3 linked regions of the Mus musculus genome follow. The protein of the gene in region 3 purifies or fractionates together with the protein of the main gene of each other region. This does not show direct contact. Links are inferred from orthologs where the notes say so. Each region holds a gene or a part of one and is shown on either strand. Other genes may lie near its edges.

Region 1 (4,165 bases), on a different chromosome or scaffold from region 3:
TACCTATTACCTCAACAAAAATCAAAAAGATATTTTTTTGGAAAAAAAAAATCACTGTCAACTTTTTTTTTCTCTCAGAACAATAAGAATGTAATTTCAATGAGTAAGAAACTAAAAAACAGGCTGAGTATAGTGGTGCATATCTAATCCCAGCATTTAGGACGATCAAGTCAAAATCATGGTCAGGTTACCCAGGAAGCTTAAAGCCAGTCTCGGCGCAAAAACAAACTTATTACGAAAGTCCGTGAGGCTGGGAGTGGTGGCGCACGCCTTTAATCCCAGCACTTGGGAGGCAGAGGCAGGCGGATTTCTGATTTTTGAAGCCAGCCTGTCCTACAGAGTGAGTTCCAGGACAGCCAGGGCCACACAGAGAGAAACCCTGTCCCGAGGGGGTGGGGGGGGGAGAGTCTAATGCAGGAGGATCTCTGGGAGTTTGTGTCCAGTGTGGGTTATATAATGAATCTGAGGCTATTTGCTCCTAAAAGAAGAGAAGGTGAAGAGATTAGAGGAGGTGTCTGTGCAGGAAGAACTGCAATGTCCGTACATTGGCTTTTACCTCTCCAGACTTAAAAGAATCCTATGTTGGTGTTTATGTTGAAAAACATGTGAAGCTGGTAGTTAATAACAAAATACAGATGAGATGTTTAATAAGCAGTCATGTTTCCGTGGGATTTTTCCATAAACATACAAGTTGCATTGGAAGAAAAAAAAATCCTACGGCAACTAGTATCTTACATCCATCTCTAAAGTTACCTTTCAATCATTTATCCTCCACTTACCAGCTTTTATCATTTTTCATATACCATGATTTCAGACCAAGGTAGCGAGAAGTAACTTTTTTTGGTTTTTCAAGACAGGGTTTCTCTGTGTAGCCCTGGATGTCCTGGAACTCACTTTGTAGACCAGGCTGGCCTCGAACTCTGAAATCCACCTGCCTCCCGAGTGCTGGGATTAAAGGCGCGAGCTACCACGCCCGGCCGAGAAGTAACTTTTTATTTAGAATACTGAGACTGTAACTTTCTCCTTTAGCAGTTCTGGCAGCTAGCTTTTAGCTGTTCTGGAACGAGGGGATAGCTTACCTATTGTGAGGTCGTGCACGGGCTGGAACCGCTTGTCGGTAAACTGAAGGAGGAGACATGACTTCCCCACACCTGCGAAAGAACGGTGTTCACTAGACGCACGTCACCCGGGAAGCCGCTGGCTCCCAGACAGGGAACAGGGTCTAAGGCAGGGGCAGAGCCCCGCCCCCGGGGCTCGCCCCGCCCCCTCCGCGCAACTCCGCTCACCCCGCCCCGCCCCCAAGCCGATTTTGGAGGTAGGATCCCCGCCCCAACTCCGAAGGCGGTCCGTCGGCGGGTTACCTGTGTCTCCGATGATGATGTACTTGAAGAGATAAGCGTAAGTCATGGTCCCGAGGCGTCTGTGTTCCGGGTCCTCCCGATTTCTACAGCCACTTACCTCCGACCTCTCTAGCCACTCAATCTACGGGTCTCCTTATTTGCCTCCGCTCCAGCCCTTCTAGCTCAAGCTGCGTCTCTATTGCTCTCCCCCAGAAATCTTCGCTGGATCGGCTGTACCGGACGCCGCCTCTAGGGCCACCCAGTGCTCTTCTACATGCCATTATCCCACCAAGCTCCAGGGGGCGACAGCGACCCTTCGGGCAGCTGGGATCGAGACTGGTTGCGTCCCTGACTCGGTCCAATCATCGGAGAGCGACGCTTTCTCCTTGAGGAAGTGACGCGCTCGGAACCTAGTGGGGGCGGTGGGAGCGATGCGGACGCGGAGACGCTGAGTCGCTGGTAGTGGTGCTGTGAAGATGGAGGTGGGTGCCGAGTCTTTGAGGGCTGATGAGGGTTCGCGGCCGACTAGGGGAAGCGGAAGCGGGAATGCAGGGCAGCGAGGAGCCAGGGGGGCTCGGGAGGGCTGGGGTCTCAGCACGCCACTGCTCCGCTCACTCACCCACCGCGGCTTTCTTTTGGTTTACAGTTTCCCGGAGGAAATGACAATTACCTGACGATCACTGGGCCCTCGCACCCTTTCCTGTCAGGAGCCGAGGTGAGCAAAAGCTGCTGATGCTGGGGCGCCGGAGGGCCTAGGCAGCGGTTAGGGAAGGACGGTGGGGGTGAGCGCGGGGGCTGGCGGGAGCTGGAGGGGACAGTGGCCGAGGCTTCGAGCTCCTCTAAGGACTGTGGAGGGGGTGGGGGTGGGGGAGAACCGAAAGCGGCTGTCATGAGGAAACCAGGATGTTGAAGAGACGGCTTGTTTGAGGAGTTTCTGTTCTGAATAGGAAGAACGAAAGGAATTGTTCTTTGGTTGGGGGTGAAATAACTAACAATCTTGGGAGACAGCAAGAAAGAAAAAAAATTTTTTCAGTAAAGAAATCGAGATAAAGAAAGTTGTTTATCCAGCAGGGAATAACTTCGGACAGTTGTTATTTCTTGAATTCTATAGGGGGCTCTTTTATTTGAAATGTCTTTTCTGATAAAAGTGGTTCATCCTACTGATGTGGCATCTGTTTGCTTGGCTAAAGAACGACAGAGGGAAAGAAATAGCTGCCAGAGAACATAGAAGGGGGTAGAGTGCACCTGTTTCCCAGTGATCACAGACTGACTATGTCACCTTTGGATTCCAGTTGTCAAATGACTATAATAACAGGGTTTGGTTTGGTTTGGTTTGGTTTGGTTTTTAAAGATGGCGTGAAGTAGAAGTAATGGTTGTTGGATGTTCTAAGACCTTCCACAAGGGTCACCTAAGACCATAGGAAAACAGATACTTTGTGATTCATAACAGTAGCAAACTTATATTTGTGAAATAGCAGCGAAAATAATTTTATGGTTGGGGGTCACCATAATATGAGGAACCATAATAAAGGGTCCATGCAGCATTAGGAACGTTGAGAGCCACTGCTGTAAGATATTCAGGAAAACTTTTGGTTGACAGATTTTCCTATTAGAAAGCATAAAACTTATTTGAGCAAGCGAAAGTCAAAGCTGCAGTGTATGAAATTTTACCATTTTTTTTTTGAGAACTTGAGCCTTGGTCCATCTTTTGAGGATTATATACTACCTCCCAAAGTGCTGTGAATTCATTTGCACGGTTGTTTGCACCAAAAGTAGTTATCCATTGCTGTTGTGTCGGTTTATCCTGTGGGAACATTGTTATGGTTGAGAGATGATTGACAGTGAGTGATTGCTAGTTGCTTTTGCTTTTTGTTTTTTGTTTTGGTTTGGTTTGGTTTGGTTTTTTGGTGTTTTTTTTTCTTTTCTTTCCTTTTTCTTTTCCTCTTTCTTTCTTTCTTTCTTTCTTTCTCTCTCTCTCTCTCTCTCTCTCTCTCTCTTCTTTCTTTCTTTCTTTCTTTCTTTCTCTCTTTCTTTCTCTCTTTCTCTCTCTCTCTCTTCTTTCTTTCTTTCTTTCTTTCTTTCTTTCTTTCTCTCTCTCTCTCTCTCTCTCTCTCTTTCTTTCTTTCTTTCTTTCTTTCTTTCTTTCTTTCTCTCTTTCTTTCTCTCTTTCTTTCTTTCTTTCTTTCTTTCTTTCTTTCTTTCTTTCTTTCTCTCTCTCTCTCTCTCTCTCTCTCTCTCTCTCTCTCTCTCTCTCTCTTTCTTTCTTTCTTTCTTTCTTTCTTTTTAAATAAAAGACAATCTCACATAGCTCTGGCTGTCCTGGAACTCACAATGTAGGCCAGGCTGACCTCAAACTCAAAGATATCCACTTGCCTCTGCCTTTCCAGTAAAGAGTTCTTCCCATTCAGAACAGAACTCTTTCCTGTGATTAAAGGCATACTCTAGCACTCCTGGCTGCTGGTTTATTGTTTAACTTAATATTATTGAATATTCTCCTAAGCAAAGGGAGGTATGACTCAAATGAGTGGCAAAATTAGGAAGGAAACGAAGTCTTACACTTGGTGATTTTATTCCGAGTTCCATCCAAAAGGTCTCCATGGTCTGATTTCATTGTTTGGAGTGCAGTAAGTCACATTGTCCTTATTTATAGGAAAGTACATTTTAAAAGTAAACACGGCTGGATGTGGTGGCACACGCTTTTAATCTCAGCACTCAGCCGAGGCAGGTGGATTTCTGAGTTCAAGGCCAGCCTGGTCTACAGAGTTCCAGGACAGCCAGGGCTACACAGAGAAACCCTCTCTCGGAAAAACCAAAAAAAAAAAAAA
Region 2 (3,646 bases), on a different chromosome or scaffold from region 3:
TTGTCTTAGTCAGGGTCTCTATTCCTGCACAAACATCATGACCAAGAAGCAAGTTGGGGAGGAAAGGGTTTATTCGGCTTACACTTCCATACTGCTGCTCATCACCAAAGGAAGTCAGATCTGGAACTCAAGCAGGGCAGGAAGCAGGAGCTGATGCAGAGGCCATGGAGGGATGTTCTTTACTGGCTTGCCTCCCCTGGTTTGCTCAGCCTGCTCTCTTATAGAACCCAAGACTGCCAGCCCAGAGATGGTCCCACCCACAAGGGGCCTTTCCCCCTTGATCACTAATTGAGAAAATGCCTTACAGTTGGATCTCATGGAGGCATTTCCTCAACTGAAGCTCCTTTCTCTGTGATAACTCCAGCTGTGTCAAGTTGACACAAAATTAGCCAGTACAGTAATCAAGCACAGAGGGAAAAAAAACAGTTATTGATTCTTTAATTCTCTGTGTTTTCCCTTTTTATAGGTAAACGAAGATTTAATATTAAATTGTGGAAGACATTCACTGATTGTTTTAACTGTCTGCCTATAGCTGCTATTGTTGATGAGAAAATCTTCTGTTGTCATGGAGGTAGAGTAATACATTTGCTGTTTAGAAGAGAACTGTAATAATGACAGTACTGTGGGAAAGCTGAGTGTGGCAGGAGGTGTAGAGCAACTAGAAGCCAGCTTGATTCCAGGCCAGGCAGGCTTAGGAACACCCCGTCTCAAAATAGGAAATTCTTCACTGGGCCTTACAGAGAATGCCTCCTATACAAGTGTTAACAGAAGAGTGGTCCACACACACTGGAATCCCAGGACTCAGAGGCTGAGGCAGAAGGATCTCAAGGCCATCCTGGGCCATAGATTCTACCTCAGAAAGAAAAGAGAAGGGAAAGAGAAAAGGTAATTAGATGTGTGTGGAGTATTTTTACTTTGCCTCAATTTATGCTTGACCAGCTGGTCAGATGATTTCCTGTGGTGCTGGGATCTAGCTCATACCTCAGATTTTAATAAAAGGTACTTGGCCATCATTAAGAATGAGAGGCTAATTATTTTTCTGTCTGTATTAACTACCTTTTATCAAACTCTAAACATAATTCATACAGCTTTCCAAGTTTTGTGCACTACGCCAACATGTTAGGAAATGAGGACATTAGAATATAGAGATTAGAATTTAGATCAAAAACAGTTTTCAGCTCTCCAGCTTTAGCACCCAGCTTTACCTTGGTGTGTTTCTCATTTATGCTCTGAGGATCATAAATTGCCATGACTAATGACTTTCTAAAGAGCTTCAAATGTGTAGTAGTCATGAACAATTTAGTCTTCTAAAGATGAAAGTTTTGTAAGTTTACACACATGAGAACTCCCTGAAGAATATGCAGTAAACTTTTCTATGATAGTACGTGTACACACACACACACACACACACACACACACAAAAAGTTTTTCAAAAGTTAGGGAAGATTATGGTAAGGGCTTGCTTTGAAAGTCCTGTGACCTAAATTCAATCCTTAATCAGGGATCTTGAGGCCAATGAGGTTTCTTCCTTAGAACAAGGTAGAAGCAAGTACACATTTACTCTCAGCACCCAGGAGGCAGGTAGGTATAGTTCTGAGTTCAAGGCCATCCTGGCCTATGTACCAAGGATCATGCCAGCCAGGGCTTTATAGTGAGAATCAGTCTCACCACACACACGCATACATGAGCACACATTTACACACACTATGGAACAATTTAATGATATACAGGAAAAATGGTTTCTTGGTATCATACATGGTAGTGTCTTTTGGGAAGCATAGAGGTGGAAATGCTGAAAGATGGTGGCGAGGCCTGAGACGTGAGTGGTTTATTCTGACAGCACAGTTCACTCTATTAGTTGAAATGTTGTTTTCCATAGATACTGACCATTAAAGGCATTGGCAGAGTTGAGGTGGGAATATGGCAGTGTGGAATATGTGTATTTAGCTTCATTTCTTGTGGTACTTGAATTACCTACCAGAGAAATAATACCTTATGTTCTACTTTACAGATATATTCTTGTGCTTTTTTTTATCCTTCTGATTATTAGTTTAATGCACATTTTTGCAGATAATGAGACTGTTGAGGTGGGATATGGGGAAAGGTTCCTAGGGGACCAAGAGAGGCGTATAACTTGCAAGTAAAAATGCTTTATGGGGATCTGGTGGTCATGAAGGTACAGAAGCAGTAGGAAGGTTGCAACTAAGTGTGTTCTCAGGAAGGGGGAGGGCAACTGCAAAAAAGTAGTAGAGTTTCTCCTTGGAATCTCTCGAAGAATAATGATTTATTTCCTTGGTAGAAAGATAGAAAAGATAGCATGAGTATAATTCTGCTAGATAGCAAGTCTCTTTCTTTCTATATATAGGACTGTCACCAGACCTACAATCTATGGAACAGATTCGGAGAATTATGAGACCCACTGACGTACCTGATACAGGTTAGTATATACAGAAGTTCAGTTCATTGCTTTACATAAGATGTTGACGTGCTTGGACCTAATTATATTTAGTGAAAGTCACTTAGAAACCTAGTTTCATCCCTGAAAACAGTTAACAAAGTGATCAGAGCAAGAAAAGGAGCCGCCCTGCCAGTCTTAATTAAAGTCATTAATGTGTTCATGTCTTCGTGATAAATCAGTAAAGTATTGCAATATAGGCTGGTGCTCAGTAGTAGTGTAATGCAAGGAGTGGATAAGCTGTGTACAGGAAATGCTAGCCAGAAAGGAAATAAAGGCCTCCACGTATTACATATACTTGAGTATGCCACACACATATTTCCTGTATGCAGAAGTCAACAGAAAGTACTACCCTAGGAAGCTAGAGAAAGTTGTACTTTAACAAAGACTGGTTTAGACTGGAGTGCCTAGGGACAAGGGATGATCATTGAAGTTTAAGAAGGCAGGAGAGATGTGCTGTAAATGTGTGCTGTATTCTGTGCTTGCTTCTATTTCACTGTTGGTTTGTTTGTTTTTTTTCTGTTTTCTAAAGGTTTGCTTTGTGACTTACTGTGGTCCGACCCAGATAAGGATGTGCAAGGCTGGGGAGAAAATGACCGTGGTGTTTCTTTTACTTTTGGAGCTGATGTAGTCAGTAAATTTCTGAATCGTCATGATTTAGACTTGATTTGTCGAGCTCATCAGGTATACAGTATACGATATTTTATTGTTAATTTCACACATTTTCATTTATTGGTAGGTAGGTAGATAATTTACCCTGATGTCTTTTAGTTTCTGTGACACTTGACCAAGGCAGCTTATAAAAGAAAGAATTTAATTTTGAGCTCACAGATTCTGTGACCATTGTGGCATGGAAAGGGGTGGCAGGCAGGTAGGCATGGCTCTGGAGCAGTAGCTGACAATGTCCATCTTGAGGCAACTGCCATGGGGCAGAGAGCGAGAACTAAGAATGGCTTCGGCTTTTGAAGTCTCAAAAATCCCACCCTAATACTTCCTAACAGTTCCACCTTCTGAGGACCAAACATTCAAATATATGAACTGATAACCTAGGGAAGGTAGTGGGGGAAGGGGGTTAGAGAGTTGGCTCAGTGATTTAATAGCGCTGGCTTTTCTTCTAGAGGACCCAGGTTTGATTCTCAGCATATTATGTGTCAGCTCAAAACTGTCTGAAACTCCAGTCCCAGGAGACCA
Region 3 (3,646 bases):
CATGTCATTTCCTTCCGAGATCCTTAAACTTTTCCAGAGAAAAGCAGTCTTAGATTATAAAGGGAAATGTGTGAACCCTGACTCCTCCTGGAGGCAGTTGTTTCTGTGTGTTGACACAGGAAGGCTGCTCTCCCAGGTGGCTCGGGTACCTGCTATCCTCCCCTGGGTTTTTATATGACTCTAGATTCATTCCATAATTCTAGAAATCTGGTGTCTACATCTTGGAGCAAAGAATGTCATCAGGGACTCCAGGACTCCTAAGATTAGAGTCTTATGCTGTAGGAGATTAGCTGGCATGGCGCCCTCTCTGTGCCTGTCATCCTAGCTCTCAGGAGGGGAGGCTAGCCTGGGCTAATAAGACCCTGACTCTGAGATGTGAATACTAGTAATACTCAAAGCAGATTATCTATCTGCTCCTCTCCTAGTCTAATGAAGGAGGCACGAAAGATGGTGAGTCGGTGCACGTACTTGAACATAATCCTGCAGACCCGCGCTCCAGAAGTGCTCGTCAAGTAAGTGCAGTGCGGGTGACTGGACTGGAGGCTGTGATGGGAGACTGGTCTCTGGGCATGGGAGCTTGCTAGTTCTGAAACCAAGGAAGGCTCACCATATTCTGTTCCCACCTGCCCACAGGTTTATTGATGTCGGTGGCTACAAGCTTCTGAACAACTGGCTAACATATTCAAAGACCACCAACAACATTCCTCTCCTACAGCAGATTCTGCTGACTCTGCAGCACCTCCCGCTCACTGTGGACCATCTCAAGCAGGTATCTTCAGGCTTCATTACCCACAGTTCCTCTCTGGGCTAGCATAGCTGAAGAAAAGCTCCATTCAGTCCTGATGGGTGGCAGTCTGGAATTTGTGAGGTGGAATAGCAGAGGGAAATGGAAATTTTGAAGTGGAGGACTCTGTGGATTTATCTCCGTTATTAGGCATGTGCTTTCTCAGATCTGAACCTCAGTTTCCCATCTCTATAATGGGAATCAGTCCAGTGGCTCATGCCTTTAATCTGCTTGGGAGGTAGAGGCAGGTGGATTTCTGTGGGTTCAAGGTCTACCTTACCTACATAGTGAGCTCCAGGCTACCCAGGGTTACAAAGATCGACCCTTTTTCAGAAGATAAAGTATTTGCAGGCTTTGGAGCAGGTTGAAGTATGGCTGTGCAGTCAAGAGGTGGGATGGTTAATGCTGAGTGAGCTCGGCTTATTCCTCTGTTGACCCTTCTGCCTTTTCCTTCTCTCACAGAACAACACAGCAAAACTAGTGAAGCAGCTCAGCAAGTCAAGTGAGGATGAAGGTGTGTGTCAGAGTCCGGCCTGGCCCGGCCTCACTTGCTCGCTCTCTCTCTCTCTCTCTCTCTCTCTCTCTCTTTCTCTCTCTCTCTCTCTCTCGGAGGCTGCTGCTGGCTGCCTTACTGCCTCCTTTACTGGCTGTCCTTTCATTTTTGCTTGCTCAGCCCTGCTTCCCTCCCTCCCTTTTTCTGTGTCTTTCTGAGAGACAAACTTTCTCTGTGTAGCCCTGGCTGTCCAGGGACTCACTATGCAGACCAGGCTGGTCTCGAACTTCCAGCTTACTTGCCTCTGTCTCCAGAGCACTAGAATTGAAGGTGTGCCACCACGCCCAACTGGTGATCCCTTTCCATTCCAAATGAAACTTATTTTTTACATGGAGTATGCCTACTGGGAAACATTTCTGTAGGAGTGGGGTTTTGCTGTTGTTTATTTGATGTGGCATCCCTTTGTATGGCCTTGGCCGACCTGGAACTCACTTGGTAGACCAGGTTTGCCTCAAACTGGTCTGGCCTTAGAGACTGGACTGGCTGTGAATCCATGGCAGTCCTTTTGAGTACTGGATTAGAGGCATGAACCAAGATACCCAGCTTACAAGACTTATCTATTCTGATAAAAATACAGATTTATCCCTATGTTTAATGAAAATGGTCATTCAAGACCTTTAATATCAGGGGAGCTTGTGAATGTGTCAGGAGTTCTTCACTGTGATGAACTATCCCTTAAGGCAGGCAAGGGACCCACTTTACTTTAAATCACATTACTGGCCTTTAGAGCTGTTTATCTGTTTCTGGGGAGGAAAGCCAGAGTACCCTGCATACTGAGTAAGAACTTAAGCATTGCCGGGCGTGGTGGCGCACGCCTTTAATCCCAGCACTTGAGAGGCAGAGGCAGGTGAATTTCTGAGTTTGAGGCCAACCTGGTCTACAAAGTGAGTTCCAGAGAAACCCTGTCTCGAAAAAAAAGGAAAAAAAAAAAAGAACTTAAGCATTAAATGGAAACTACACTCTAGCTTTCTACCCTTTTTAGTTTTATTCTCAATATTTGGTTCTTTGGAATACTGACATTTTCCAGTTTTATGATGTCTTTTGAGTGTCCTTAGTAACTGAGAGGACATGTCCCAGGCAGAGGAAGGACGCTCTCATTACCACTGTCTCCCTCATTTCTTCCCAGTTGGCCCTAGACTGCTTTCTCCCTTGAATAGAGGTTTTTTTTAAAAAAAATGTTTATGTATTTTTTTTTGCTGGAAATACTAAATTATTGCTAAATAAGTGGTTTTTCTCCCCCTTTTCACCTTCAGAGCTCCGGAAATTGGCATCAGTCCTTGTCAGTGACTGGATGGCTGTCATCCGCTCCCAGAGTAGCACCCAGCCTGCAGGTAAGGTCCTGGGCTCTTTACCTTAGACGGTAGCCCTTGGGTGTCTCGAGGCTGGTTCTTCACCTCTGACGATCTGTTTATCCAAATGAGACGCTTACCTGCTTTGTCTTTGTATAACAGAGAAAGATAAGAAGAAAAGGAAGGAAGAGGGGAAAAGTCGAACCACGCTTCCTGAGCGGCCTTTGACTGAAGTGAAGGCTGAGACCCGGGCTGAGGAAGCCCCAGAGAAGAAGAAAGAGAAGCCCAAGTCACTTAGAACTACGGCACCCAGTCATGCCAAGTTCCGTTCTACTGGTAAGGCTGTCAGCTGGGCTTTGCAGGACCATCACATGCACAGTCAGTGCCTCAGGCTAGGAGTTTGATTGCAGTGTCAAACTCTAGGAAGGAAGGCAGGCTACAGGAGAAGCTAAGGCACTTACTCAAGGCTAGAGCATGGAGAGGGCGGCCACAGGGAGGAACAGTAAGGGTTAAAGTCACCATGTCTCTCCTCAGGACTGGAGCTGGACACCCCATCTTTGGTGCCTGTGAAGAAGAACTCCAGCACTGTGGTTGTGTCAGACAAGTACAACCTGAAGCCCATCCCCCTGAAGCGGCAGAGGTATGGGCACTGGTGTAGGTTTCTAAGGAGCCAGGGCCTTTGGAAAGAAGTGGGAATTGGGAGATGTTTTTGACTGTCCTTTCTTTGCATCTGCAGTGCCACAGCTGCTCCAGGTGACGCTGCCCCACCTGCAGAGAAGAAATACAAGCCTCTCAACACAGCCCCCAATACCACCAAAGAAATCAAAGTGAAGATCATCCCTCCACAGCGTGAGTAGGCCTGGGGTGCACTCTGCACAGGGGAAGACTTGCCCTTGAGAACCGTCTTTTGCTTTGCCTTTGATGTCTTAGCATCTTAGGATTTTTGTACCTTTGAAAACTCCCCTTCCATCTTAGTCAGGGTCTCTATTCCTGCACAAACATCATGACCAAGAAACAAGT

Evidence for each region.
Region 1: the proteins of Ppp1r10 (region 3) and Tox4 purify together in Homo sapiens (affinity purification with mass spectrometry; 3 studies listed by BioGRID and IntAct, counting the BioPlex papers as one, with this or other methods). This does not show direct contact. The link is inferred for Mus musculus from reciprocal best matches to the Homo sapiens genes PPP1R10 and TOX4.
Region 2: the proteins of Ppp1r10 (region 3) and Ppp1cb purify together in Homo sapiens (affinity purification with mass spectrometry; 5 studies listed by BioGRID and IntAct, with this or other methods). This does not show direct contact. The link is inferred for Mus musculus from reciprocal best matches to the Homo sapiens genes PPP1R10 and PPP1CB.

What each region holds. Positions count from the first base shown.
Region 1 is NC_000080.6:52,277,835-52,281,999, forward strand, and holds the start of Tox4 (TOX high mobility group box family member 4), read left to right. Parts: upstream 1-1,311; 5' UTR 1,312-1,361; coding exon of another isoform or gene 1,362-1,407; exon of another isoform or gene 1,408-1,553; 5' UTR 1,554-1,816; coding exon 1,817-1,822; intron 1,823-1,986; coding exon 1,987-2,055; intron 2,056-4,165. Other genes in the region: Rab2b (ras-related protein Rab-2B), read right to left, coding at 1,080-1,151, 1,362-1,407. UniProt on the Homo sapiens protein: Transcription factor that modulates cell fate reprogramming from the somatic state to the pluripotent and neuronal fate. In liver, controls the expression of hormone-regulated gluconeogenic genes such as G6PC1 and PCK1.
Region 2 is NC_000071.6:32,482,894-32,486,539, forward strand, and holds part of Ppp1cb (serine/threonine-protein phosphatase PP1-beta catalytic subunit), read left to right. Parts: intron 1-466; coding exon 467-571; intron 572-2,365; coding exon 2,366-2,437; intron 2,438-2,987; coding exon 2,988-3,139; intron 3,140-3,646. UniProt on the Homo sapiens protein: Protein phosphatase that associates with over 200 regulatory proteins to form highly specific holoenzymes which dephosphorylate hundreds of biological targets.
Region 3 is NC_000083.6:35,923,612-35,927,257, forward strand, and holds part of Ppp1r10 (serine/threonine-protein phosphatase 1 regulatory subunit 10), read left to right. Parts: intron 1-425; coding exon 426-512; intron 513-633; coding exon 634-769; intron 770-1,246; coding exon 1,247-1,298; intron 1,299-2,590; coding exon 2,591-2,668; intron 2,669-2,788; coding exon 2,789-2,962; intron 2,963-3,160; coding exon 3,161-3,266; intron 3,267-3,362; coding exon 3,363-3,475; intron 3,476-3,646.